Linked DNA regions of Lonchura striata. The protein of the gene in region 1 purifies or fractionates together with the protein of each later gene. This does not show direct contact. Links are inferred from orthologs where the notes say so. Each region holds a gene or a part of one and is shown on either strand. Other genes may lie near its edges.

Region 1 (15,298 bases):
AATAGACCACCAATCTTTTCCACTTGGAGATTGCAGTAATGCTATATGTCACAGGGGAAGAACGAAAGTGCTTTGGATAGTACTTCATGCTCGGTGTGGAACACACATCATTACTGTAGAATATCTGCATTTTATTTTATTAAGAACAGTTCCACAGTAAAATGGGCTAGTGTACCTTTATTTGCAATCAATGAGCAAATTACAATGCCTTTATCTACCTGCTAATTAGGTTGCTCAATTGCTTAAAAGTGGACTTTGATCCTTGGAGATGCTGATTGACTTTAGAAGAAGCTGGGTAACAGGAACTGATGCATGTACTTTACTCTGTGTGATCAGAAATTCACAGCAGTTTACTTGCTTGTATGCTAGAAAACATAGTATTTGTCTGGTGTGTCCTAAAAACACACACCCACAAGTAAAGAAAGCAATACATATGTGTCATGCAGAAAATGATAGGAAAGGTACAGCCCTAGTGAAAACTGAGAACATCTCTCCTGGACTGTATCATTTTAACTTCCTCACTTGTTTGTGTTCCCAGGTGTGTGGAATGAGCTTGGATAGGTTTGGGGTGTTGTCTTTGAGATTTCTGGTGTGAAAGACATGTAAACAAAAAAAGCAGAGCACTCGCAACATACCCACACAGGGACTGATGATTGCAGTTAAAAAAATATAGTTGTTATAATGCATATTTTAGAATAATTCCTCTTATCACATAAAATAAGACTGGGCTTATTTAAATATGATTACTATATGAAAGTTCAAAACCTTTTAGAACTCCCCCCCCAAAAAATTACCCCTGACAGAATTAATTTAGAGAGTATGACCAATGAAGTGATGCTCTGAAAAAAAACCATTAGAGCAGTTACAGTGTACAGAAATGTACAGTGTTTGTGCCATAAATATTTTACCAATTCATAATGTTACTGAAATAATTGTTTAAAACTCAATGCATTAAATTTTGATTGCCTACAAGGCACAATTTATTTTACCTTTTCATATGAAGGTGCTCGAAATTTAGATATATAGAAGGATGGGGAAAAATAGTGAAAAAACAGAATACACAAGGAATAGAGAATTCAAAACTTCTTTTGAAACCTTTCCAATACTGTATAAAAATTTGCACTTTCATAATTAATGAATGACCTTTCCTTCTTTGACCTAGATTTCAGTTGTTTGCAACAAATGAACAAAGGAAAAAAAAATCATTTGAAGTCAGCGAAGCCAGCACAGCAGCTTCCATAAAAACCTTTGCCAAACTGATTAGATTTGCAGTTCACTCACTAAGCCTGCCTGGTCATGGTAGCATCATGCAATGAATATTTTCATTGAATAAATCTGGAATTGAAGATGAACTAATTTTTTTTGTCTGAATACTTCCGTAGTGCTTGCTTAAACATGAAATTGTTTCTGATTAACTCACGTGTGAACAGTCTTATTCTGAAAAAAAAATTCTTCCTGTTGATCTTAATGTAGTTGTTTAATAATTAAACAGAAGCAGTTAATTGGAAAATACTGCATATGTGGACATCCTCAATCTTTTTCCTGTGATAGCTGTAAATGGTTCAAGGTTGGATAAAATATAGTATTAAAAAAAATTCTTCCTTGGATAACAGATTGTCTTATTTTGTTGATTTTAATTTCTTAATTTGTTTGACTAAATGAGAAAGTTAAAGCATCTGATAGTTTTTTAATATAAAATGGTACAGGTAGATGGGCATCAGGGTAGAAGAATATTTTGTTTCTATAGAAAACTTACGAAACTCCAGAAATTAAAGGTTGCATTGTTCAGCAGGGAGCTTATGAGAACTGCAGTGTGTCTCAGCCTCCACATAATTGCTGTTCATATACAGGCAAAGCAGGGAGAACAACTTGCTTTTCCTTCAGTTAGTAGCTCAGATCCTGAGTGGACTGGACCTTTAAAGACTTGCCTTTGTATAATTAACATTTTCATCATTGTTAGTATGTTAGCAAGTGAGACTTAATATAACAAAATATTGAATTTACTCATTATGGACTGATTTAAAAGACTATGATTAATTAAAACAATAAATTTTCCAGAAAATAAATAGTTTTAACTGGTGGTAATCCAGAAGAACTAGAAAGAGATTTCTGTAGTGCTCTAGTCTGTCTTGTCCAATTTGCTTTTCAGAAAGCAGGATGTTAATCTAAAGAGAAAAGTGAATATGTTTGTTAGATTTATTTTTGTTAAAAAAAAAAAAAAAAAAGGAAGACACGTTTTCTATTAGCAAAGAAAAAGTAAAGGAAGTAGAGGAAGCATCTTTCTGAGACTGCTAGCTTTAGACCTTAACCAGAGAAGCAGCCCTAGCTGGCTTTGTCTGCAGCTGTCTGAAAACCATGTTTAAACATGTCTTGACCACAGGTCCTGTTGAATCAGTGGCAGACACAGTTTGGTTAGCACATGCAAATGAGCTGGCTGTAGTACCAAAATAGTAGAATTTCTAAAGACAGTGGATACAGAAAAATTTAAATCTGTTAGAAAAAAAAGAAGTTGGATTTCTTTGCATGAATCACTAGAAGCCTCTGTGCAATCGGAGGGAGCTTTACCTCCCCCATGGAAGCTAACAGCCAGCTGGCTGGCCTCACAGCTGGGTCTGCTCCAGGCCTGATGGGAGGACAGGTGTAACAAGTGTGGAAATGACCAAGCAGCTGTTTCCACTAGTTTGCTGCCAGAGGCACTTGGGCTCTCAGCTGTGCTGTTACAGTAAGCTAGATCATGACCTAGAGACCAGAGTCCTTGAGTGACTGGAGCTCCTGATCTTGTGCCTTGCAGGTTCTGTCCCAGGGCCATGTCCTGTCCAGCATCAGCACCCAGTGCAGTCCTTGGAGGTAAGTGCTATCAAAGTTGTGTGGAATTGTGTTCTGGGTGATGGCCAAAGGCTCTTTAGTCAGGTCTCTGTGAGCTAGGAGAGTGAAAGTGTCCTGAACAATAACCCTTTCTGTCTCTTGATGGGGTTAAAATATGTCCTGTGAAGGTTTGTCTTGCTTTCAAAATTCCTGGGGAAAATCTCCAGGGAGGGCCTGTGAATAACTTGCTTGTAAACCTTCTCTCTTCCCTCCCTGCCAACACCTACCCAAGAAATACCTTGTTTATCTTTCAGATCTCCTCTGCTTCCTTATACGCCATTGTTGGCTGCTTTGGTGCAAATTAACTAATTTAAGATGCACATTGAGGGAGAGTTGGCTAGAACTACACAAAAGTTTGCATCTGGTATCAGGTTATGTCTCTCTACACTGGTGAAAATTTCTCCAAGAGAGGCAAGGTTTCATGTGCAGGACATATGGCAGATCAAGAAAAGCATGAATGGTACGAATGGGTCTGAGATGCAGTCAGTGATACAAATTTCAGCTGTGGTAATGTAAGAGCTTTGGGGATATAAATGTCTCTGAGAAAACCACAGAATGGGGCTGCAAAGGTGCCTGTGATGTGTATAATGATGTTTCAGCTTCATCTTGCCTTATGGTGGGGCAAATCTTACACAGTGGTGTATGTTACTAGTGAATTAAAACACAGGCATACATTCAAAATCGCTGCAACTTTATGCTTTAGTTTTAAGTAATTTTGAAGGTGTATCTTTAATTCCTTCCATAGAAATACAAACTATGGCTGCTTGATTCCCATTTGTCACCAATGTTCCTCTGATCTCTGCACAGCTACGCTCATTAAGTGCCTCCTTGTATGTTTACATAGATGTTTACTCTCCAAACAGTTCTCGTCATTCTAAAACTACTTAAGGAATGTACCTGACAACTTGGGTGGAAAAACATTCTCTAGATGTAAAAGACTGAAAGAAGTGCTTCAGTGTTCTTTGGTGAACACTGGTCTCAGTGTTCACCAAAATTCCATGTCTGGACTGAAATATTTCTTTTGACTCATATTTTTATTTGTGTAATACTACATCTAACAACATAAAATATTTTAACATTACAAGCAAGTAAAGGATGGCAGAATGTCATCTTGTTGTTTTAGACATCAAAGAGAAAAAACCAAAGTTATAGGAAAGTAGTAACATCTTCATTTGGAACTGTTGCTTAAATAGAGCAATTAGTAAAAAACCTGCATTTTGGTTACCTTTCTGAAAAAATAGTAAAGAGAGAGAGACGGAGACATTCCTCATCCAGTTATAAATGACATAAATACAATCAGTGTTATGTCTGTGTAAGTGAGAATACCAAGTGTGTAAATATAACTATGTTCATGCTCTGGATTTAGATTGTTTAAAGCAAAACATTTTGCTTACATGGTATTGAGCAATTTATTTCAATCACCATTTGAAGCCCCTTTATCTCCCATGCTGCTGTTTGCGATTTCTAATGATTGTTAGGGAACTAAGAACAGCTATGAGGATATACTGGCAAAGATAGTCTGATAACCTGGCTGCATAAAAATGCAGGTGTTTCTTGTAGCTGTTAAGAGGGGTCTGTTGAATAAATGTATATAATTTTTCTAGAATGTGCAGTTCTAGAAATGGTATGGATATTGTGTTCAAGAGAAAACATCCAACCATTCAGGCTACTAACACTTAAACCTAGTTTATATTTCTGAATTGAAACAATGCTGTATCTTTGGAACTTTTATAGTAAACCAAACTTTTTGGTGATATCATTTTTTTTCATCCGGAATTACATAAATTAAGAAATCAAGCAGTTTTTAAAAGGAAATGGGATGGGGATGTTTACATATTTTGTCTTTTCAGGACCATTTGATGTGCTGCATTAAAGCTGCACAGCTGAACATCCACAAACTGTGTATTTCTTTGTGCAGTATATTGTTGATACAAAGGATAGAATTTCAGAAATGTAAAACATTGTGCCTTGCCTTCCTTCTAGGGAAACCCTTCAAATGTCTTGCCAAGCTCTAGCTTCTGCATTCCACCTCTTTTATTTTCCAGAAATGATTTTTTTTTTTTACTTTGTAATTAGCTACGCAGTTGTACAGAGGAGGAAAGTATTGCTGGCAGTAATGCATGTGTCTACACATTGAGGCTTGCTCATTGTGTAGACACAACATGCAAACATCTTGTAGCCCTTCAGCCGACTATCAACACACCATTAATAAGCAGACAGCTTGAAAACTCAGCAATAGCACAGTGTTTGTTACAAAAAAGAGAAACTGCTTTGATCTGGCCACTGCATTTGTTAGAATCGCTGCGTTATTATGCATAACAGAGTGCTCATGTTTAATTGGTCATCATACCTAATCTTCGTATGGTCCCCCTTTATACCAGGATTGTAGAGAAGAGGAGTTCCTGAAGTATGTGTTAGCTACAGATAACTCACAGTATGTTTATTTTGGAGGAAGAGCAAAGGAAGGAAACTGACATATTTGTAAAACCTTTCCCCCCCCCCCCTCTCTCCTCATCTAGAGCAAATGAAAATAGTACGGAATTATGAGAGACCATCCAAGGTAATTCTAAGCTGTTCATGTGCAGTTTTGCTCCACCCTGTATACACTCTATTTTTGTTGTTCTTGCTGTGGTCCCTTGAGACAGGTGTTAATGTTACTGTGTCTTGGAATGCTTGTTACTGCATCTGGAGATGAGAAAATTCTGTCTCCCCTCAGCAATCTTTGTGGATATGAACAAACAAGTACAACATGCTCAGGCAGTGCTGGTTAGAGGGAGGGGGAGAAGTAAAATAAAACTAATGTGCCAGTATCATTCAGGAAGCTCTGGATGAAAGTACTTCTGTGACTTCTTGCAAGTTACTGAGTACAAGCATTACTTAAAAATTAACTATAGTTACTATAAGAGTATTAGAAGCACACAAGTTTTGATTGTCCCAAAACAGCTAAAACTTTGGTACAGATATCAACACTGTTTTAAAGGACTTGTTTTCAAATCTTTACTAATTACTGTGAAATACGTAGATGATAGTAAAACAGCCTGTAATTAGTCTGGGACCCTGCCCTCTTACAGGTCCTTAAGTGAAACTAAGGCAGTATTTATGCCAGTACAATTTTCTGCTGTGGCAGTGATTGAACACTGGATTAAGACTTTGAAGGAGTTGGGCATGGAGGAGCAAGCAGGGAAGGACTCTATTAGTAATAAATATCTGGGAGCTTAATTTAACAAAATGTTTTGTTTCCACATTAGAAACACAATTCTGGTGCATTTTCTTCCCCTCTTTTGATCAAGGGTGTTTTGGACTTGAGCCAGACTTGTCTATACATGGAGGTATCCTAGAATAATTACTCTGGAAAAAGTACTTTGGATTAACTCTGTGGGAGTATTGTTTCAGAAGGAGTTATTTGGAGTATCAACAGATTTGAGTGCTCTGTCTCTATTGCCCTTTTCTCAGTTTCTCTGGAATCTTAGCTTCTTCTCTCTTTGTACTCTAGATACCAGTAGAAAAGAACAATTGAGTATTGTCATGCTGCTAAGAATTTGTGAGGTTTTAAAAACTTGCATCTGCTTTCCTAAACCAGAGCACTAAACCAAGATTCTGTTCAAAAACTAAAACCTCTCTGTTTCTCTGGAGTGGGTTAAGTTGATAAGGTATGCTGGCAAATAAGCTTTTGGAGTTATGGGTGAAAGCATGAGAAAATGACCTGGGATCCAAACCAACATACTGTTTTTGAACAATTAAAAGGTAGGAATAAAAAATTTTCAGATATGTTCAGAGACAGGAAATGCTGGAGGAGGAGATTCAGGTAGTCTTCAGTTTCTGTTTTCATGTGGTCTGTGAATAGTCTGGTAAAAGAGAGATTTTATTTTTTTCCCAGTCCTTTTTTTTTTTAGTTCTTCTCTTGCACGTATGAAGGAATTTGGGGAATACAGACTCAATACTGGGATCATACTGTCCATAGTTCTGTACCAACCTTAGCACATTTGGGCAATGTTATGCCCATGGTCGGTACCCGGACCGACCTGACGGCGCTGAGCAGCAGCCAGACCGGTATCAGCCCCCCAGGGGGGCATGGTTTGATGGCTCAAACACATCTCCCCCCGCCGTGGGAGCTCTCTGCCCTTTTCCCCAACGGTGCACGGGGGCTACGGCCCGCTCCTCACCTGCGGCCGTGACTCGCCCCTCGGTAAGGCTTTATTTCGTGTCGCGAAGCGCAAAGCCATCCGAGCCCGCGGCCGCGGCAGACGGTGAGCCCCCTGGGGGCCCCGGGAGGTGATGGGCGAGTCACGGGCGGGGCGACGCCCTCGGCTGCCCCTCCCAGGGGAAGGGGCCCGGCCCCGGGGACATTTTGTGCTGTGCCGGGGGCCGGGCAGCCGCGGAGGGCGGGGCGGGGCGGGGCGGGCCCCGCGCGGAGCCGGCGGGGCACAACGGGCGCGCTCGGCGCGGGGAGCGGCGACGGCGCTGGCGGCAGGTTCCCGTGCCGGGCAAGAGCAGATGGCGGCCCTGCTTCTCCTCTACCTGCCCCTCCTGCCGGGGCTGGCCGGCGCCTTCAACCTGGACACGGACAACGTGATCAGCTGGAGCGGGGAGACGGGCAGCCTCTTCGGCTTCTCCCTGGCCATGCACCGGCAGCTGCAGCCGCAGGAGAAACGGCTGTAAGTGCACCTCGCCCCGCCCGGCCCCGTCCCGGGCCGCCTGCGGGGACCCTCCTACCTTCCACCGCCGGGAAACTTCCCCTGGCGGCGGGCCGGGGTCGCCAGCCCCCGCGAGGTGTCCGGCCGGCGGCGGGAGCGGGGCCGGGCCGCCGGCGGCCCTCCGAGGGATGGGCAGCACCTGCCGCGGGGCGCTGCGGAGCCGGGGCAGCGCCGAGCGGCGGGGACGTGCGGCGGGGCGAGGGGCCGGCCCCGCGCCCGGGGACCTGCGCGGAGCCGAGGCTGGAAAGGGGAAGCGAGCGGCAGCCGCCGCTGGGAGCCCTTCCCGCCGCGGCGCTCTCCTGCGCGGGCCGCGCCGGTCTGCGCCGCCGGAGCCTCCCCAGCGCTCGGGTCTGTGCTCCGCGGCATACCCGGCCTCAGGTAACTCCGGGTCTGCTGTTCGACACAGACCCTGCCCGGGAATGCAGATGAGAGGTGATACAAAGAAGTTAGGAAAAATAAGTCGGGGCTAGTGATGTATGCATGAAACTTCTTTTGGGAAATTACGAAGGCAAAATAAGGCTCCTGTGTACATCGTCAGCATCCTTGCTGCTTTGTGTCCATAGCGGAGCAGTGGTGGACCCCACCCTATCCAGTAGTGCTGGATAGCGTGTGAGTGTAAAGTATTATTGTTAAATAAATGCCTCCTCCTCAAATATTTAGTTTTAATTCAAGGCCAGATACATTCATTATCCATATAGAGTTTACGAAATGAGGAAGCTGGAAAGATATAATATTCTTCATAAAGTTAGGTGGTAAATTGAAAAATCCTGTGGGCTCATTTTGCTCACACTTGCGCTCCTGTGTGATTTCATAAAAATTACAGTGTGTAGAGGAGTATAAGTCACATACACGCATGTTTCATCTTCCACCTAGCAGATAAAATGACCCATAGTATCCTGAGGAATGAAATGCAAATCTATGAGCTCCTTTCCAGAGGCCTTTATCTTAATTCTTGACAGGATTACGCTTGCATAAGTCTACTTTTAGAGTAGACTCTTTTAGTACGACCAAGAAAGCAATGCCTGAAGCTTGTTAGTCTCCTGTTGTATTGTCGGTCCTGGCAGAATGAGTGTGTAGGAATATGCAGACAGCCAATTACTGAGAAGAAAAAAGCAGCAGAAACACAAGGACAGTCACAGTATTCAAGCTGGTATGTACTATTTGGCTGAAATGCTTCAGAGATTATTGGCATGAAAGTTCTGTATTGTATGTCTAGTAAGTGCTTCCTCAGGCAGTCAAAGAGCAGAGCCAGATGCTATCTGCCTTGACATGGCTTTCTGAATCCAGGCTTTCATGAGAAGCAAGGATCTCTATTAGAGACAAAACCAGGCTAGACAAACTGCGTTTTATGGTGACATGTGCTTCTGAGTATGAGGTGTCTTGGCCATTTTTCAAATCCATGAGTTTTAGCATAAATAATTGGAAAGCTACCCTGGGTAGCTGCTGGGTAGTATGCTTGGAATGAAACCTTTTATGTCAAACAGGCATGTTGTAGTCACTTTGAACATAATTTTTGTGTCTGTAAGAGTTGTAGTATGTGGCTTTATGAGAACAAGACATTAAATATGCTGAACTGTAGCTGTCTTAGGGACTGAGCTGTGTTTAGCTCACTTTGAGTTCTGCCTTCTGAAGAAGGAGGTTTGGTGGGGAGTGTTAAAGAGAAGCCTTCCATGTTAGGCTGCATTTTTATATCAGATAAAAATGAACTAGGATGAGCTAATACCAAAGGATTTGTGTGGTCTTTTCCATGGATTGATGGATTCTTCATAGCTGGAACAAATGGTATCTGCTGTCTGGATACTTGGGGAAGGTAGAAAGTTATGGGAACAGGAGGTCACACTGAGGTCTACTGCTGAGAAACAGTTATTTCTAATGCCTTCATGCTGCCTGTTACTTAACAGCAGGACTCAGGGGTGCAATACCTCTGCATTCCCAGGTGCGTTTGGGTCTGTCTTACCTATGCTGCAAAAGTGAATTTATATACAGCTATCTCTTAGTCAGATAGAAGTATCTGTTTTACCCTTTCTTCTTGAATAGATGCTAATTTCAAAATACAGTTACATTTAGAGTGTGAATACTGTTAAGTAGTTGCCAAAAATACAAAAACTCCCAATTCATACTGAAGCATAATTAAGAGTGATACTTGGAATCTCATCTGGCAGGGACCCTTATTTCAAAGAAACCTGTCAGTTTGAGCACCTTTCTGTCCCTCAAGTTTTACAAAATTAGGTTGTCATTAAGCATGTGCAGGATTAGTCCATCTTTGGAAAAACAAGAAAATGAGAGAAAGTAAAATACACTGATTGTATTCAGGGGCTAATGGCTTGGTAAAACAAATTAAATTATGTGTAATTTTCCTCTTACCTCACTTACGCATTTGTTAAGTGAAATGGTTCCCTCTTCCTCACACAGGAGTGTTCAGTGTGATTTAATCATTGCAATAATCCTCTGTAAAGATGCGGGTGGAGAATGTCTGGGAGGTGTGACAAAGGTACAGCTGAAATAGCCTTTGATTAAACATGGTATTTGCTTTTGACCATCTTTTTTGCTTAGTCACAGAATGTTATGGATTTCATATTAGCTTTGAATGGCAAATTAGTTTATTAGTGTTAGCTACAAATGCCATGTTTTCTAATTGCTTAACTTTCACCATTATGAAGAGATGACTGTTCAATTGCTTTGACATTAGTTGTAAACGGTGCTGAGTATAAAGCTATGGACTAATAACAAGATTTTGATTTTAAGTATCTTCAAATTAGAAGAGTTAGAAAGTTTGTCAGGTGGAGAGGAGAAAATCTTTTATGGTAACTGAAAGTGGATTGCTAATGGTATGTGGGTGTGAAAGACAGCTGAATGCAAACTTTATGTGCGTTGCGGAACATTAATGTTGGGGGTACCAAGGCAATCTCCCTGGATTTTTGTGTTTGGTTCTGGCTCATTGTCAAGCACAGTGAATGAAGCAGCAGAAAAGGCTGATGGAGCTCTAAAGGATCTGGGTTTGTTGCCCTGCGTAAGTTTGTTCTGTTTTTAATCTATAAATATGATGAAAGGTAGTTCTGGTTCTGCAGGGGAATGGTGGCACAACAGCAGCACATTTCATCTGCAGACTGGAAGAAGGTTTGTAGCTTAGAGGGGTCTGTGACTGGGGGCAGAGCTATAGGAGAAACATGTAAAATGTATGTGGTTCTGTGATGAAAATGTGAGTGCATCCAGCATCTCTAGATGGGGACTACACTGATCATGCATTTATTTGCTACTCTATGTTATATTACTGTTAGAATAAAAATACAATTACTAGCTACTCACTATATATATAATTTTATAGAATATATAGAGATACGGTCTGTATGTATGCATATTCTATATGTCGAGCAAATCCATTCCAGTTTGGCTGTAATTCACAATGATTTAAGCATCTTGAATTAAAACACAAGCATCAAGAATATCTAAATTTGTATATTATTTTCATTGAGTCCTAGAATCACTTGGGTTGGAAAAGATCCTTAAGGTCAGTCCAAGTGTAAATCTTAACACCTGCTAGCCAGTTTTTTTTTTTTTGTTTAGAATGATAGAATCACAAATTGTCCTGACTTGCAAGGGACCCACAAAGATCTACTAGCAAGTAATTTTGATATTATTTTCAGTAGAAGTAGGGAGCTGAATTCAGGTAAGTTTCTTGTTATTGTGTGAGGCAAAAAGGGTACTGTAGTTACTAACATTTGGGATTCTTCCATCAGCTGAAAAGCTGTAGTGAAAGCTGTGGATAGGCACTTTATGTCAAGACTGCACTGTCCATTACCAGCCATAAAATCCTAAAAATTGCAGTGTCTTACTGAAAATTTTACTTGGTACTGGTTTTGCTGATGCTGCACGTCTCTACTGTGAGCTTTTATATCAATACATAACAAAGTTGCCTTAGGTCAGCAGATCTGCTGGCATTGCTGTACTGCTGCAGTGCAGCCCCAGTGGCATTTAGCCAGTACTTTTGGGTTCTCTGGGGGCTTGGGCTCAGAGATGCTTTGCTTCAGCAACAAAGAGCTGGATTATGCTGGTCTGCAGTGGAAGATGGCAATTTCTACTTGCAGAGGTGGTGTAGTGTAATTCAGACTTTGGGTGAACTGAATTAATGCATGTTTACACCTTCAGGTTTAAAAGCTGTAATAGTGATGGTCCTTAGTTAGTGCTTCTGTCAATTAAAACATTGACAAATATTTTTTCTTAGGCTGTGATTTTACTGTGTCACTGATCCTTGTATTTTCTTCTCTTGAGTGTCTTTGCGATTTTGTCTATGCAAACTATTCTTAGATAACCTGCTTAGTATACTTACTTGCTTTCTTAGTGATAGGAGGCAGTTTGTAGAGGAGTTTGTGTTTAAGATAAATGGCCTGTGGCAAAGGTCAGGATCAAATGAAGTTGGAAAGGAGGAGTAGTTGAAGAGTTTTCTTGTAGTGGTAAGGGACAGATATTCAAGGAAGATCCATTGTGCTAATACCATGGGTGAAAAAAGTGAGGTGAATTTATGTTGTATAAGGGATCTGTAGTTGTTACAGGAGGAGCAAACTGCAGAAGTCTAGCTTTTTTCCCAGTACTGATTTTGAGTTATGTTCTTGGTTATCGGTGGCAGAAGCCAGACAGGTAGGTTGGCTTCTCATAAATGCTTTCATAAGGCCTAACAAGCAAAGAAGAGTGATTACTGATCTAATTTACTGCTGTATGATTTCTCCACCAAATAAATGAAATTAGCATATTGGGTTGCCTGGCATCTTACAGCAGTAAATTGTTCATCAGTCAGCATGGGCCATTCTTTTTTCCTCTGTTAAATTCCACCTGCATGTGCCAGAGCAATTCTTAAGTTTTGTAAGGAATGCATTCTGGTAAATTCTCATTGGAGATAGCACATTCATTTTAAAAGAACTTCATTTAAAATCAGCTATTGTTTAAATGTTTCAGAACTAGCCTGGGTCTAGATGAGTCATTCTGGCCATAACTGTAAAAATGCCATGTTCTGAGGACATAATCTGTGGAAAGGACAAGACTGAGGTAAGGCTATTGGGCAAATGCCATTTTAAGAGCAAGTAAGTAAAAATCCATATTATTGTATGAGCAGATGGTGGTCTGTACTGTGAAACATTAGCTGGAAAATGAGCACCTTATCATGGTATTTAGCAAGGGTAGGTAACAGCACATGAATATTTGAGAAACTATGCAGAATAGTCTGGAAAACATGGAATAATTGCTTTATTAGCACTAAATAGTTTTGATTGCAATATACATAAGCAAGTTACTGCTTTGGAAGTAATGGGAGAAGAATGTAGCTTAGAAAACAGACATAGACGTGGAAAAAAGGTTTAACTTCAATTTTTAAAGGAATCATTCTGTATGTTAAAAATAAATGAATTATACCATAGGTTAATAAAGCTCCTTTTGCAGCTGTAGTATCAAACATACTGTATTCTTCTTAAAATGTACTTCCCTTGGATTTAATGTATTTTGAGTATCACATTTTCTAAGATTATTTTGAGAATTCCACAGCAGTTTCTTTAGAAAAGTGCAGTTGTTTTGGTTTAGCTTAAAGAACAGGCTGTGTGTATTCTGCTGTGAAGTACCTGAGACAGATTTTTGTACCAAAATACCAGTGAAAGGCAAAAGGTACCGCTTCTTGCATTGTGATTTTTGGAACATTTACTAGTATGCATTGATCATTTTTAGATCTGCTGGAGCAGTGGCTGTTTTTCTTTTTTTCTCTTACAGAACTGCATCTAAAAAAATGTAATTTCCTAATGTAGATTTCCTTCAAGTAGTTGAACTAATGTGTGTGAGGATGATTAGACTGTGTTAGGAAGGGAGAAGGTCTGCTGAATCAAGGGAAAAAGGAGGGATTTATGGGATGGGCCCTGTCAAGATGCCATCTGCAGCATAAAAATGTACTCTAGTCCCTCCAGGGTAACATGGAGAGATCATGCACTGGATTTCACTGCCAGCTAGTGAGTTTCTAGGCTACTCTTAAGCTGTATTCCTTGCATTTGTTTTCTATTTTCAAGATGTTTGGAGATCATCTAAGAAATAGAGAACAGCAGATTGGAATTATGAGTATTGTTGAGTTTGGTGATAGCTAGTGTCGATAGGAACGGCAGAGTTTTCTTAGACTGAATGTTGCTTCCTTTTTAGTGAAGATGACAGTTTTTTGGAAATGGAGCTGTATGTTTAGTCTCTGCATGTTGCATCTGTCATTGTCACCTTCCTCAAAAGTAGGTCTATAAAATATATCTTTAAAAAAAAAGAATTGCAAATATGCTGGAGACAACTTCACTCCTGTATTGCCCGGGGTTGTTTGCTCAGCAGCACATGCATGGGTCAAAGGTCTGAAGGAAATGCATGTTTATCCTGGAAGTGGTCAAAAGTGGCAACCAGCTGTTGTAGATAGCAAGGACACCATCATGTAAGGCTGAATTTTTTGTGTCCTTTACTTAATGCTCTTTTCACAGTACTCTGCTAAGGGAATTATAAAGATTTGTTAGCCTTGCACTTTGTCGTCAGTGCAGCTGAAGCTGCATAATGGTTTAGCCTGCTGGCTCTTAGATGTTAGTGATGTCTAGCAGAGTGTATGAAAAGCTGTTTTAATTATCCATGTTTGCGTAGTGTGAAAAACCTTCAAGTGAAAACCATGTTTTCTTGGCCAAAGATGCAAAAATAAATTTAGCATATTTTTTTTCTTACACAGCCAACTCTTGTAACTGCTACTACAAATATGGTGTCATTTTGCAAGTCCCTGTAATCTTTTTATCCACTCACTTTATTTTTCTGCTAGATAAATGTGTGATAATTATGTGGTGTGGTCCCTGAATATTGCTGAAGATGTAAGTTTATTCTCTTGCCAGCCAAGCTGTGTTCCTGCGTATAGTGGAAGAAAACTGTTGTCAGATGAGATGTAGTCCTAGAAATAGCTACAATACTGTTTGCACAACTTGCAGCTTACAGGAACATAGGGTGTTAAAAATACATGAAAAAAACGAATTCTAGATTCTGCTCAAGTGAGAATGTAGAGAGTGGCAAAAAAAAATGTATGTATGAGGGGATGTGTGTAAAATTAGGTATGTGTGCATGTGGAGGAGTAGCAATACATAGAGTTAGAGGATGCAGTGCGTTTCTTGGCATAGTCTCAAACATAAGTTTTTTTGCAAAAAATCTTGTTCTTAAGTTTTTAAAGCTGGTTGAAGTTCTCAGTTTGAACATTTCTATTCACAGTAGAATATAATGGTTTCTTCTTCCACAGATGTGTATAAAGAGCAGTTTCTTGTTAATGTATCATTTAGTTCTGTTGATCTGTTTGATCAGTGTTTGAATATTTGCATGGACTATAAAAAAGGGCTCTTTGAGCATCCCAGCTGCACAGGCATTTCTAGGACCTGTTTCTCCTAGGAAAATACCTTATTGGAGTGATGTTCTTTCAAGTGACTTGAGTGCCTGTGTTTTCAGCTAATTTCAAGGCGTGGGGCCACAGTGCGTCATGTACCCAGATACATCTGCTTTTGTCATTAATTTCATGTCTTGAAGAAAAGTCTTACACAAACTGTGGATCCGATTATAAGCATTTAGCCCAGGGCTATGATGGCTTTAAGACTGAAGGAATACTTAGAACTGTGCTTTAAGCATGCACGTGCCTTTGGGCTGTTGAAGGCTGTTCATGTACTTATTCTCTGAAGCTCTTATTAGGGATTATGTATCAGGAAGGTCCACGC
Region 2 (15,340 bases), on another chromosome or scaffold:
AATAACCAGGTCAATTCTAGCACAGAAAATATTCCTCTTCCTATGACTCACCTCAGCCAAAAGAGTGTTCTAGCTCTGATTGCCCAGGGAAGGATAATGCAGGGAGAGGGGACCAGAGCTGGCCACACGTGGTTATCAGTGTCAAAAATTATGAGGATATTGATGATCCACAGCAGTTGTGCCCTCATACACAGGGAAATCAGCTTCCCACTTATCCCCTTCTAAATGTGTTATTGATAAGAATCACATTCATGTAACTATAATAATTTGTTTTGGCTACTCTGACTGCTCTCATCTAAGTTGGCTTCCCTCTCCTTTTTTTCTTAAAAGATTGTGAAAATTCTCAATGAAGTAGCAAACAATAAAACCCTTTTTTTCTACAAGGGCGTTCTCTTCCACATGGAGACAGCTGCAGCCAAAGTAAAGCTCATGACATCAGTGAAAGCAGGTATTTCCCTCTGCAACTGTCTGCTTTTCCCTCCTCCCAGGCTTCCAGCAGCACACCTGTGAGTCAGGATGCACAATTCCATAGTGCCTGAGGGCAAACAGCCCAGTGAAGTCAGCAACCACGGTCTAAGCACAGTGGTTTACATTCCCTTTTTTCTTCCTGTCTCAGACACACTGCATACACCAGAGGTAAGCCCTGGGGGGTGCACAATGGACAGAACAGGCTTTTGTTTGGCTCTCCAGAGCCCATTTCTGAGGCTGAGCACAGCCTCATTCCTCAAACATGAGCTCAGACAGACACTTGCACTCTTTCCCTGCTCAGGAGAAGGAAAAAACCCACATAACAGGGATTCAAAGGTGCAGGAACCGGCCTGACATTTCTTCCATCCCAAACACAGGAAGAGGTCCTCCCAATAACAAGAAATACGTCCTTTTAAAAACCCTCCAAGTGGACAAGGTACATTGGAGACCACACCAAATGTCTCCTCACCTCCAGCAGACCTCTTGCCTTTAGCCAAATCTCCCAGCAAATATGGAAGAGGGCTATTCCACACAGCGAGGGGGAACCAGCAACCAAGTACAGGTCAATTCCTCAACAAGTGGTACTTCCACACAGGACTGGACTCACCCTTTCTATGCTTCAACAGCCAAAAGCCCAAAGTCCAACACTTCCCCATCCACACATTCCCTGCACACAGCACCTGACACAGAACGATGAGACTCTTTCCTGCTCCCACATGTCCGTGTGCCTGGCTTCCACACTCACTGTACACCTCTGGGATGGCACACACAGCTCCCCAGCCCCTCCCCAGGAGCTCTGCATGCAGCCTGCAGTGACCATGGAGAAAAGGAGCCAACCATCTCTGTTCCCAGGGCAGTGTGGGGGTGAGATGTGGGATATGAATTTCTCCCTTCTGGATTCCACCAAAGCTAAGAAGAAATACTGACATTCACAAGCCATAACTCACAGCTGCCTTGTCAGACACTACAAAAGTCCTGCTCACTGGCTGGCATGTCAGAAATGTCAGCATGGCTGCCATCTGCCAGTTGGCTCTGATAGTAGATAGATTTGATCAAAACCATCCGTCCTCACTATTTTCTTTATTGTTGCACCTTGGTGGACAATGAGGGTCAGAGTACTCCCTAAAAACCACAGAGGGATTGTGGCTGCTACTCTAGCAGATAACAGGTCAGCGACTCACTCCGGACAAAACAGAAACCTCTCCCACAGTAATTCTTACCTCCCACAGTAATTCCTACCTCAAACCACTCTTACCAGTTTTAACTGAATTTCATTAGTGAATGAGCCAATTAATCCATTGTTCATCCTCCAGCTATGCTGGTAAGTCACATGCTTTTACTGAAAGAGGTGCCAAGGACTACTTTCAGTCTGTGTTGAGCTGATTGCACTCCTGAGATGCACCTACTGAGTTGTACAGCACTTTTCTGTCTGGGAGTGGACAGTCCAGCAAGATCAGCAAGATCCAGATGCAGCCCAGACTCCAAAACACATCTGTTATTCTGCCATGCAATGCCAGTAGTGCAAAACAGTAATCACCTGCCTGATCCTTCTCCTGCTCACTTCCACTGTCCAAAGGAGTAGAAGTGTTCCAGGGTCAGGTATCAGACACATTTCCACCTCAACCATTTGTAAGCACAGCAGATCTTTCTCCCACAGCACCTCCAAAAGGTGTTTCTTTCTTTCAACTTACCCCTCTCCTACAGTGGCAAAGACATCTGGGAAACATGCTGCAGATCTCCCAATTCCATTGTGTCTCAAGAGTGTTCTGTGACATTCACATTCTCTGGACAAAGAGACATAATTCTGTCTCTCAGGAGAAGCACAGAGAGAAGAAGAGAAAACAATCTTTATCTCTGCTTCTTTGTTTTCCCCATGTGGAATGTGGTATGGAGATTGTTTACCTGAAGTGATTGCTTGATTGGATTCTGATGAAGGTTGTTTGGGTTCAATGACCAATTGTGTCTTGGACTCTCAGCAAAGAGTCCTGGGTTTTGTTTGCTAGATAGGTAAGTAAGAAGTATGTAGAATAGTACAGTATCTCTTTCAATAGGATATTAATGTAATATAGTGTAGTTTTAATAAAGCAGATCCTTCAGCCTTCTGATCTGGAGCCAGACATCATCATTTCTTCCCTGAGTCAGGGCACTGCATTTTTTGCTATAGTGTCCATCTTCCACATCACAGCTACAAGGACAGATTTAACTGAAGCACAGGCACTCACCCTTACAACTCTTCCACTGCCCCAGCTCCCCACTGCTGCTTTCTTTCTTATAAAAGTAAAGAAAACCTGGGCTGAACAAGTGAACTTTGCTCCTTTTGTATTCAGATCTGGCACCAGCCACAGATAAGAAACAATGGTGAATGCCAAATATTTTATGTCACCGACTTCTGCCTCAGCTTTTCTTTATGAAGCCTCATTACTGCCGCCAGGAACAACCTGTGGGTCTGAGCAACATCCTCTCTTGCACCTCCCACACATCTTATTTCCACCTCTCTTAAGAGGCCATACCACACCCCACATCCTCCACACTCCCTCTCTGGGATGCACTCACCTCAGCAGGCAGGAGAGGCGGCTCCACGGCAGCCTACAGGGATGCAGGCAATGCAACGTCCATCAGAGCTGCACAGTGTGTATTTGCTTGGCTGCACCCTGCCAACAGTGCCAGTACATCAGCACCCAAATGAATTTAAACAGCTGCCAAGGACATTCCCTCAATTCTTGCAGAACAGAATTCTTGATGTCCTTCTTTATCCCACTAAACCAGTATCCTGCCTTCAATAATGTCAACCTACTACTGGCATCAGAAGCATGCAAGAAATAAACACACAAACACACATACATATGTAACTCCATGAAAAGCCCAGCTAGCATGTCATGGCATCAGTTCCTGCTTGCATCCTTCTAAGGAGCTGGACACACTTTCAGTCCCACATTGATCTTATTGCACTCTGGCCATACAGAGCTGCATAGCAGCTTGGATTGGGGTCATAACCACCTGACCAGCACAAGAAACTCAGGCTAGAAACATGGACCAAGCTGGTCACACCCAAATGCCCAGACCCCAAAACATACCTCTTACTCAGCCATGAAATTCCAGGAGTGGAAAATAGTCATCACCCTCCTGCTCATTTTGCCAAGAGTTTTATTACTGCCAGCAGCCAGGACACAGGGCTTAGTAGGACTCCCTGAATCCATTCCTCAGGATCCCAGGCTGTTGAGATCACAACCAGAGGAGTCTGGCAGGCAGGACAGAAAGGAGCACTGAAGAAAGATGCCCATCAGCAGTGCTGCTACTACAGGGCAGCTCCCTGCCAAGAAGGCCTGGCAGCCAACAGCTTCTGTGCTGTGGGGAGGGATGGAATGAGGCACTCTCCACAGAACTGACAGAATACCTCATCTCCGTTCCACACACCTACCATTCCTCATTTCTCCTTCCACACCCTGGCTTCAGACACAGGGTAGAAGGGAAAAGCACACTTCTCACAGACTAGGAAGATGGTCACCATCCTGGGGAAAAGCACTGTCAAAATGCATGTACAAAAAAGGATGAGAAAATGGGATGGTTTTACAGTGACACTGTCCATTTCATTTCAGCTTTGCTGTGGCAAAAGAAAAACCATATTTAGGGTCTGAAAGGCAGGATGAGTGAGTGAGATAGGAGACTTGGTCTATATCCTTAGGATCTTGAAGGTTTTAAACAACAAGGGAGACTACGACTTCTGTTCCTCCAAGCCAGAGAAGCTGAGATGAGCTGTCACTTCTAGGAGCACCCCTCCCTCAGGCTTTCCATGACCTCAGCTGTCAGTGCACATACCCAGGGAGAGCTGGAGATAACCCAGTGTTGAGCTCAAGAGCAGAATACAGTAGAGTTGAGGGGTAGAACATCCTCTCACAAGGCTTAAGGAACAAGGCTGATGAAGCCACTGGGGATAGTAACGGTAAATTGGGACATGAAAATTCACAGCTACCCTTTTTGCTTTTCAGAGGCTGTCAAGTGTTTTTCTTTCTAAGCTTCTGCCTTACAAGTCACAAGAAGAACAGAAGGACAGTATAATTGCTTCATAAATGACCAAATTACCTGGAAATGCCAGACAGGATAGTCTGCCACAAGAGGGAACACATGGTGATAAGAGATGTTACACAAACAAACACATGTAAATACACATTTTCCATCCATCCAGAACCAACAGTTCAATGCGTTCCTGGGCGAAGAAGCCAAATTATGCAGAAGGAACAAGTGAATTTGCCTGTGGGATAACCTGGCTAGAAGAGACACAGGTCTCTAATCAACCCCCTCAGGGCTGTCTCAAGAGTAAGGGAGTTGTTGCCTTCTTTGCATGTGTGATGCAACAGTTCAAGCCATGATAGAACTTTTATTTGCTGAGAATGATAGGCCTGCTGGAAAGTTCCTAAGGGGAAAGAGAGCCCTTCACAGCTACTCCCACTGAACATTTTTGCTTGACAAAAAACCAGCAGCTTTCTTCCACCCCCTTCATGAAGAATGCATCACACCCAAAGAGAGAAACTTTCGGACACTGCACTGCAAGTAGCAAATAAAACCCCTTTAACAGACCTGCTCTGAGTTAGGAGAAATAAAACTGGTTAAACTCTCACAAAATGTACAAGAGGGATTAACCACCTCAGACTTCAGAGTAAAATGAAGTGTCACACATGGTATATTATTTCAAGCACTCAGAAAATACGTTTTTCTTATTGATCCCTGAAGCCAGCATACAGCAGGGAGTGCCAGGACTTTTACCAGGCAACTGGGGGAGTCATTGTCCTCCTCTGCAGAAGCCACAGGACAATGAACACAAGCAACAGTTTGGAATGAAACATACTTTTTGCAGAAATACAGCATATGACCAGAAGTAAATACAGGCCAGGAACTCAAAGACATTATCAGCAAACTATAGAACAAGGATGTGATCTGAGGTGAATTACATGGAGTTCAAAAGCTGCCACCTCATCCAGCTCGCAGCTCAAGCTTCCAGCTGGCTCACAGAGCAGCTGTAGCCAGCCCACCTGTGCAAGCCAGTGCTGTGCCTTTGACAGGGACCTGTCACCAGATGCATCATATAAAGTATAAGTGATGCTACCCCAGCTTCCAATAATCCACAGACTGGGAACTGCCTGTCCTAGGCCCACAAAATGCTTCAGAGAATATAAACGCACTGAAACTTTTGCACTGACTTTTCTAGTTATGATGAGCTTAGCCACAGCTCAGCCAAGACAGGCACTCTACTCCCTTCACCACAGACAGTCCTTTGGCAGCAATGACAGTCACCCAGGAGGACTGGGACAGACCTTTGTCTTACTGGTGGGATGCTAAGAGACTCTTCAGCCTCCACAATACCAGCTGGTAAGACCGCTCGTCACACCAAAAGCTTCCCTAAGAACCATGGCATTGGACATAAATGTGTTTTCTGAGAAAGGGACGTCTTTCAAAACTGTCTGAACAAACAGCCTCTGATGGGTGATGCTATTTCAAGTCAACCCTTTTTCATGAACCCTCAGAGAAAGCCAGGAAGTGCGGATGGAGGACAAAGGAAATGAGCAGTGCAGAATTTAAGGGATGCTACACAGTAGCCAGAAATAAAGATATGTCACTGCTAAAATGCAACAGGATACTGCAACAAGTTGATTACAAAAGCCCTCAGGAAAAGTCAGACTTTAAAAATAACTACCGCAGTTCACGTTCTTCATGAGAGGACAAGAAGAAGAAGCTACTGGCAAAGATTCCTCATGGCAAGCAACACAACGGTGCAGAAATAACCCATTGCCATCAGCTCCCCATCTGATGCAGCTTCCAGAAAAAGAAGGGAACAGAACATCGCCTGGACTGCGTGGTAAACAAGCGCTCGTTCTCTCCCTCCTCCGCCTACAAGGGTCCTACAAGCCCAGCAGAAAGGCCAACTCTTAACTGTACAACAGGGAAATCTGACTGAACAAAAGGCAGAAGGGGGTAAAAATCGTTTCACCAGATTTATGGCAACATTTCAGAACGCCTTTACTAATTCCGCGGGCTGTGCAAAGTTATGACACCAGCCGCAACAGGTTAAAATACTTTCCTAAGAAAAAAAAAAAAAAAAAAAAACCAAAAAGAAACAAAAACAAAGCATACAAGGGCCAAGCCCCTGCAAAGCTGTGCAAAGCCACAGGGCGCTGGAGGGGAAGCCAAGCAGCGCTGCGGCAGAGCCGGGCCCGCTGCCGCACGGGGCCCGGGCTCTGCCGGCTCTCCCGGGCTGCCGCCCCGGCCCTTCCCCGGCCCGCTGCCGGCGCCGCCGCGCCCGCGCCTCCCCGTCCCACCGGTGCCGCCATGTCGGGCGCTCCGCCTCACCGTGGGCCGCCGCTCCGCGCCGCCGCACGCCCCGACCCGCCGCGCTGCCGGGAGGCCCGGCCGGGAGGGAGGGCGGGAGGGAGGCGCGGCCGGCCCGGCCCACCCCGGCCCGGCCGCCTCCCCCGGCTGCCTGCCCGGGCTGTCCGCAGCCCTCGGCTCCGGCGCCTCACGGTGCTGCTTCCATTACAGCGAACTCCAGATGGAGCCGCTTTTTTGGGTTTTTGGTTTTTTTAGGAGTCAGATCCGCTTGTTAAAAGTGTTCTCCATGAAACCCTGTAAAACAAGATCAAGCCCTGACTGGCACATTGCCTCATCCTCCCATTACCTCACTTGAGCCGCAGCCCTGTGCGAGGGATGCTCCCAGGAAAACACCCGCTCCTCTCCGCGGCGTCTCTTGGTTTTTCAGGAGTGGGACGAAGAGAGGAGATCTGGGCAGGGAAGGGAGAGGCCAGTTCAGAACCTCCTGCGTGCTTGCTTTAACTTCTCCATGTGCCCAACTCAGAAATCACTTCATCCTTCCCAAGGAGTAAGCTCGCTTTAGCTCAGAGCAGCTGGAGATCCAAGTGATCAAATAGAGCCTTGGGGGGTCAGCTTGCTTGCACACTGACAGATTTGTTGCAAGGAATATGTCGCAGGATCTGGAAGCCACAAGAGACACCGGCCCCTGCCCAGGTCCTGGCCCTCCTTGGTGGAGCCCTGCGTAGCCACCATGCTGGGCAAATGCCTTCTTGCCATGTCCAGGGATTTCATGCCCAAACAGGAAACCACACAACCCCCCCAACCCAGCAGATTTGGGTCAGTGAACGGGCATGACCAGGCACAAGTGCTTCTTTGTGCTTGGGAGAGCCTGCAGGCAAAGGTGAGATACAGCATAGGATGCCCATCTCCCCGTCTTCAGTTTATTGCTGGAGTAATAGTTTTTTGGGTTTTTTTACTGCAGATACTTGTTTACCTTGAGGAGACTAATTTTACCTGGTCAGGTCTTCTGTGGACTAGTGTTTTCAGAAGTAGCACACAGCCACACTTGTGTTTGCAGCATGGTACATATATGTATATAAATATGCCCTGCAGGCTGGAGAGGCTGGAGCTGGGTTATTGTAGCCACACCAACCAAAATTTCCTTGTGACTCATCAACAGCCAGTTCAGTAATGAGCACCTCCTAACAAAGCTCTGAACTGCAGGGCCCCAGGTCTATTTACACTGAACACGAGATTGCCAAACAGAGCATTTGAAGGTGTATAATGGGCTGTGAGATACATTTTTCATTGGAGATTAAGTACTTGGTCAATATATGTTACATACAGATAAAGATATTACAAAAGAAAGGCCTTATGAAATCAAGCCTTGCTCTGCTGAATTACCAGCTGGACTGTTACTTCTTCTAAGTGCAGCTAAATTCTCAGTTGAAGGAGAATGAGAATCCATTTGCATAACAACCTATCCTTAGAAAACTAAGTTGCACCTGTAATAAACAAGAAATCTGTCCCACAGGAGTCAGGGAACAAAATATGTAAACTAACAAAATATAGAGATTTGACAGACATACGCCCTAGCCATTTACCGACCAATAAACTGTGTCAGTGTATTGTTAGCCAATTAGGTCTAACAGTGCCTTCTGAGATCGCCTATAAATATGAGCTTTGTGAATAAAGAACTGACTTTTCTGCATGAAGAAACCGAGTCCCGTCTACTTATTAATGCAATAAATATATATATTTATAGTCTAAGCAATCAACAAGTAAAAAGATCATGAAAAGACACAGAAGAAGGTGACAGGACAAAGTAATATGTGAGTGAATGCATGAGTTACCCATAGCAGTAACTCATTAATTGTATGTAAATGGAAAAGGTCCCTTGGACCTGGAATAAAGAAGGTACTAGAAAACAACATCTCAAATGTTTGAAATTTCTGCATTTATACTGTGGAAAAGCTTCAAACTTAACACCGTGGCTTAATGCTCTCTTTTCAGCCCTGTTTTGGCTTTTCAAAGAGATGCTGTCAGCCTAATCCTCTTATGCTTACCCTTAGTATATTGACACGAAACAGATAAGTGAAAGCAAAGCAGAGTGAGGTCCCTTTGCTGGCCTGCAGGGATTTGTGGGGCCATGGCTACTTATCAGAGCAGCTGGCTTTTATGCTTTTGCCTCTACGCCTGATTGTGTACACAGGTGCACTGTTGCATGTTCCAGGATAAGGCTTCCCAGGCTGCAAGAAGAGTCTTTCTTGTGATATGATTCCAAAATACTTTACAGATTATGTGCAAAAAGTCACTTGTTCACTAAGAGGCTGGAGCCAATATGGTGAATGTATAAGCCCCCAGGCAGTCTTATTTTGCATCCCCCCTCATCTCATGCCCCTCAGGGTATCTCATTATTTGCATTTATGCTAGAGTTTCCAGCAGTCACTTACAAAAGGTGGCTGCTCCCAGAGCTTCCATTTAGAGGCAGGAGAGATTCTGACAAAAAAAGGGAATGTATTAAAATGAAGAACTTTTTGGAAATTCTGGTCTCCTTTAGGTCTGATATCAGACAGGTTTGAAAACTAGCAACATATCCCTTTAGATTGTAAGTGGCTGAGTCTTCCAACAGGACAATGTAATCTTTGTGCTGAGAGACAACAAAAGATCTTCCAGTAATAAACCCCACCCTGCTGCTTACCGTTGTCCAAGCTCAGTATGCTCAAATTCTGTGCCATTTTGTCATCCTTGAAACAAAAATCCACCCTTTCCTGCTTACAAAAAGTATATGTTACAATTAACTACTTCTGTTATCAGTTTATAGCAGGGGAAATGAGTAACAATTTGTTTGGTCAAAACTGCAGAGTGATTAGTTCTGTAATGCATGAACATCCAGCTGGAGCCATGCCAGGGCACATTAGAAGCAACCAAATTCCTAACTCTAGTGAAAAGGATGCATGGGACATTAATAAAATAAAGTTTTAATTCCATTAATAGAGGTGACAAGGTGAGAGTGGTTTCAGTCTCTCTCTGAAACCACTATACCCCCCAGACATTCAGGAAGTGTCTCCCCTTTTTCTCCTCTGTGCTCTGCCCTCCGTAATTAGCTGGATGGACTCTGGCTGCTTAAAGGAGGTAAAAAAAGATAAGATTAATTTCTCCTGAGCTGCCCCCAAGACATGGGCTCCTGGTTAACTCTTTCCTTGCTTGTAAGACTCCCTGTGTACCACCATGCAGGACAGGCCACTGCTAGAGCAGTGAGTAGGGAGGGTCACACTAGGATCAGTGATTGAACATGGGAGGCTGAATCTCCTGCAGCACCTGAAAAAAAATCTCTCAACACAACCACTTGTAAGACAGCATTTCTTTATTGCCTGTACTGTTTGCACACTAAGAAAACATACTTAAGGTTGTACATTGAAAGAACCTGCTGGTTCTTGCCATTGCAGTATGACAGCACTGATAAAGGTACTGGCCCATATTTGTGTGTCAGGTGTGTTTCACACCTTTGTCTTAGGTGTGCTGTGTACAAAGCGTGGGAGGCACACATTCAGAACATCTTAGCATGGATTCCCCTTCCCAAAAATCACTCCTTGCAAACACAAGTAGTTCCCCTGGAAACACTGTAGGTCTTACTCCAGGCTCCACACCAGCTACCCTGGTTCCTTCAGGGCCTCTTGTAGCTTTCCAATTCCCAGTCTCTGGAAGGCATTAGTGCAGTTAAACAGTGTTAAGCCACAGCCAGCCAACAGTAAGGACTGAACAGGATCTTACTGCTTTTAGCTCTTCCTTTTACTCAGAAATCCTGCTCATCCAGAGAAAAACTTCCTCTTTCCTATCAGAAGTAAAGGGCACCAGAAGGAACCATGGAAATTCTTTGTAATACTGATGTCTGTAGGGGTGACTCAGAGTACTTTTCCTGTCTGGGATATTCCCAGCAAAAAACGTGCAATAAATAGGCATTCAGAACACCCACCTCATCCCAAGAGAGGAAAGACCATGGACAAGTACTGGCCCTTCCCTATACTGCAAGATCTGCGGACTGCATCACAGCTGCAGTATCTTGTGCCTAAAATGTCAGAGTCACATACAGAAACAGCCTCGAAGACAAAAGGGGAAAGGGCACTAGCAAAAATCTCACTTAATCCCAAGGCTTTGAGAGCTGAGCTGCAAACCAGAAAGCATGGCACCCCAGATGCTCTATGCCCAGGCATTGTGGCAACTTTGCCAATAGGAGCACTTCTGGGGACAGTTTCTACCTCTGCCCTGCTTCTCCTTGCCCTGCTTTGCCTGGACCCTTAGTGACAAGAAGGTCCCTTCCCAAGGGGAACAGATTGAGTCCAGCTCATTCTCAGGCCCTTCACCAGTAAAGCGAGGCTGGTGCTCCAAGTCCCGGCAAGAGAAAAAGGTACATTTCACAGGCAGCTGCTTCATGCTTCCAGCCCAGGTGCTTTTGAAAGCACTCTAGTGGGATCTTTCAGGACAGAGGGTAAGGCAGTTCCAAGTTGCTGGAGATTCTTCAGGAAAGGATAAGAGAATGGGAGGAAACAGGCAGCATTCAGCCTTAAAACAGGCTATATATGGCTCCCCTGGTTTGTACAGCACAAAGGGCCCATCCTGCAAAGGACTATGAATCAGCAGCACATGCCAGAGCCTGTGGGTCCCAGGGCAGCTGCTCTGTGTTCTGTAAACATTCACTTTAAGGACAGTGAACAGGTCCATAAGGGTGACAAAGCAATGAAAGCCATTGGGATTCATCCTATCAGTTCCTATTATGATCACATATAGAATCTGTTAACTACAATATTGGCAAGTCCAACCAAATCCTGCAGTAAATCCAGGGCCCAATCCAGATCTTGCAGGAAGTGGTGGAAGTGTTCCCATCACAGCAGGCTCTCAGCTGAGTACTGCTTCTGCAGAACCAAGAGGAGATGCTTCTCTCTGAGACAGGTGGATCACTACTTAGAGCTAGCCCAAATTTAAAATATTTTCTTTCCTTCTTATACAGAAATTCTATTTAATACAGACCCACTGTGTCCTCTGGTCTCTGCTGCTAGGCCACTTCTTTTCCAGAAAGAACAGGAACAAGACTTCATTCCTTTACAGGGAACAAACCTCTCCAAGACAGAAGGCCCAGTCTGTGCTACTAGCTAAGACTAGCCAAATTCTCCCAAAGAAGCAGAGGCCTCTAGAGACCAGCACTGCATGCAGACTTGGAAGTAGAACAGTGCAGATAATATGCATATTTTGGCCTGATTTATGCCTCAAAATTCACAGACTGGGAAAAGCTGCACCTTCCCCAAGTCTCTAGAGAGCTGATACCACCAAATTCAGCTTGCCTGAAAGGAACCCCCAGCTTCTTGATACAGCATTGGCACATGTCTCATGCTGACACGTTGTGCTTTATGTGCAGCACCCTTTCCTCCTGCTGATATCCTCCAGCTGCAGGGCATTCTCCCTCTGCCTGTCTTCTTGTGCTGTCAGCAACCTGGAAAGAGTAGCACAGATCAAGAATACAACCTGGTTACTGAGCTCTTCCTGCCAAGGCATTTGCCTCTACCCTTTGCTCTCCACCAGCCATTTAGGATTTATATTTAAGATTGCAAGAAGTGACAGGCCCAAAGACTGGACTTCTCTGGAAGTTCAGCTAGATAAATGACATACAGAGAATGAGCGTGAATTTCCAGGGAACATGGAAATAAACTGGACACATACAAGAGGGGGTACCATGACTTGGTAATCTGAACACCAGTGTGAGTGGCCTGTGCCTTTATTCCCAAGATCCCCCATGGATGTCAGAATCCTGGGTTGTATGCTCCACCAGGCTGGGCCATCTTGGGCAGCACCATGGTAATAAAGCATGCTGAAGGCACGTGCTATGGGAGCTGTGATTCACCTAGCTGACAAGTAAATCCACCCAGTTAATGAACAGCTAAGTCCTGCTGTGGCTCAAACAGACATGGTGCAGGAGGAGGTGAAGAGATCAAAGAAAACAAAAGGATAGTTTTCTTGTGAGATTTTAAATACTTTTCCCCAAAAACTACCCTTTTTTAAACTAAAAATTTTGGAGCAAAGTTCCCTCAGCTGAACAGTATCTTATCTCATTTTTAAATGATTGCCACTGAAATAGCTCAGTCTGTACAGTGCTTATTAAGACAGGGAAGAAAGAACCCTTAGAGCTGCATGAAAACTTCAAAATGAAAACACCAGTTTAAAATCTGGGACAGCATGCAAGGTTTTTGTGATGAAATAGTCAAATTGAACTCCTAATCTTGCAACAGCCAGTTCTATCAGGTGAAGCTTTGTGTGCAAGGAGTCCAGTCTACACTTGGTGCTCTTCAGGCACAAAAGACAAGGACCTGGAGTCAGGTTTCTTTTGGGATTTGACAGAGTCAGTCTCTGACAGCCCCCTCTTCTTGCCCATTCCCCAGGAGAACCCACACCAGTCACCGCCAGCTGGGGAAGCGTCCCAGGGTGCTCCTGTTCACTGACCTGGCCATGTGCAGCATGGGCTCCATGACGTTGTAGCCAGTCATGGCACTGCACTCGTAGAACACAGCCTTGTACTCCTGCCAGAGAGCACAGCAAGCACCCATGGTGACTGCCAGCTCTCCACCATCACCATTCACCCAGAGCCTTGGGAGCTCGCCCATCCTCATCCCCAGGAACCCTGCCAAGAGCCATTGGAGCCAGGAGGGTGGCTGCTACCCTGCTGGGGTGCACACCCTGCTCACCAGCCCAGGAGGACGAGATACTTTTTCAGCATTGGGGGCCAAGCCAGCGTGTCCAAAAGGAAGCACTGGGGGAGTTGTTTGGGAAGAGAAAACATCAGTCCAGGGTACTTTGATTCCCTTCCTTTTTTGCTGTGGGTCCAGAAGGCAGGAAATACCTTTGAAACCCTGTCTCCCCCCACCCAGGGGCCAAAGTGCCAGCAGGCAGGCAGTCAAGGGAGTGAGGAAAGAGGCAGGATGATGTTCCATTAGGGAGTTCTCAAATGGGAAATCAGCCATGCATGTTCCCCTCAGAAAGACTGAAATGAGGCATCAAGCCCCATGAGAAATACATGAGCCTCCTCAAGGGCCATTGTCTGCCACATACAGGCCACCACCTCATCCTCCCTTGTACCAGAGGGACCTGGGTACCTGTCCACATTGGAGAAACAGGGGGTGGGAGGCACCATACTGGAAAACAGCTCCAAGAAGGGCTTTCTGCCAGCCAGACTGCCCTGCTCACAGCTGGAGGGTGGCTGCAGAGCAAGTCAAACAGCAGAGCACCGAGTCACACCTTTGCCAGCCTTTCCCCCTCCACCTTGGGTACTTTCCAGGTCTCTCTCTGTACAGCATCCAATTTATTTCCAAGCAGAAAGACCACAGCTCCATCCTCTATACCTTCCTGCAAAAGAAATAAAGACCCCTAAAGAACCAGCCACTCCGAGCAGATCCTTTCAGCCCACCAAACAACACCTTCAGTGGCAGCAGGATCAGGCCCATTAGACCATTAAAGGGCCAGGGATTTGTGAAATGAAGCTTGAACTAGGGAATCATTCCAAATATTTGGTAGGTTGAGCTGGGACAGTGGCAGAGGGGAGACAGGACATAAGTGTCTCTCAGGAAAATAAGAAGCCTAAAGAAAAGCAGCTTTCCCCATAGGCATTTTGGAATTTGTTATCTGGCAGTTCTTCTTCATAAGCTCTGTAATTTTTGTATGTGCAGTACTGTGTCTAATGTGCTGTCCTAGACTCAACAATCCCTTGCTGAAAATTCTCTGGATGAGCAAGTTCACCCCTTGTAAATTGTCTCCATAGGAACTGTTATTCTTAGGCAATTCCTGGAGCACCTTACCTCTGGTCAAACTCTATAATTCCACTGGCTCACTAGAACATGGTCAGAGTAAGAAAAGGGCTCAAAGTTATTTCCATACTCAAGTGCCCTGGATGACATACAGAACCTGAACAGCTTCAAAACAAAATAAATACAAAGATGGGGAGAGGAAAAGAAGATGGAGATTAAAATACACAGATTTCATTTTGTGGACTCAATTTAACCTTCCTCTTGAAAGGAACCTGATTTGCAGAGGCTGGTTAGTTTTGAAGATCTTAACATTTGATCTTTTGGAGTCCAAAGACCTAAGTGGTTGTTTGGGTTTTTTTCCCCAACAGGCTTGTGGAAATTAACAATACTAGAATTCTCCAATCTATACTTACTCCACTGAGATCTTGGTTTTTTGAGACTCAGAACAATCAAAACAAAACCACCCTTGAAAATTTCCCTTCACCTCTTGATTATCTACACACAACTAATTTAAAGTATAAAGAGAGGTATTTTTGTATCCCCAAGAAGATAAAAGCCACAGATAAATGCTTTTAGTGAGTATTTGGAAATAAAGGATGGGGGAAACCCAAGAGTATTAATACATTGTTACCAAAGTTTAAATTAAGAAAGGAACTAAAAAGAACCACCTCCCTTTCCTGTGCATAGGCCAGACACCAGGAGATCTCCCTGCCTGAACACAGGTGAGATGTGACCACGTTTAGGAGATGTAGCCAGTGCACATGGGCTGCTTACAAACCCAC

Evidence for each region.
Region 2: the proteins of ITGA6 (region 1) and CD151 purify together in Homo sapiens (co-immunoprecipitation; 3 studies listed by BioGRID and IntAct, with this or other methods). This does not show direct contact. The link is inferred for Lonchura striata from reciprocal best matches to the Homo sapiens genes ITGA6 and CD151.

The regions. Positions count from the first base shown.
Region 1 is NC_134610.1:20,601,112-20,616,409, forward strand, and holds the start of ITGA6 (integrin alpha-6), read left to right. Parts: upstream 1-7,264; 5' UTR 7,265-7,359; coding exon 7,360-7,520; intron 7,521-15,298. UniProt on the Homo sapiens protein: Integrin alpha-6/beta-1 (ITGA6:ITGB1) is a receptor for laminin on platelets. Integrin alpha-6/beta-1 (ITGA6:ITGB1) is present in oocytes and is involved in sperm-egg fusion.
Region 2 is NC_134608.1:44,891,720-44,907,059, reverse strand, and holds the start of CD151 (CD151 antigen), read right to left. Parts: upstream 6,882-15,340; 5' UTR 6,811-6,881; intron 3,577-6,810; exon of another isoform or gene 3,543-3,576; intron 1-3,542. Other genes in the region: CRACR2B (EF-hand calcium-binding domain-containing protein 4A), read right to left, coding at 12,172-12,256, 13,261-13,337, 14,053-14,160. UniProt on the Homo sapiens protein: Structural component of specialized membrane microdomains known as tetraspanin-enriched microdomains (TERMs), which act as platforms for receptor clustering and signaling.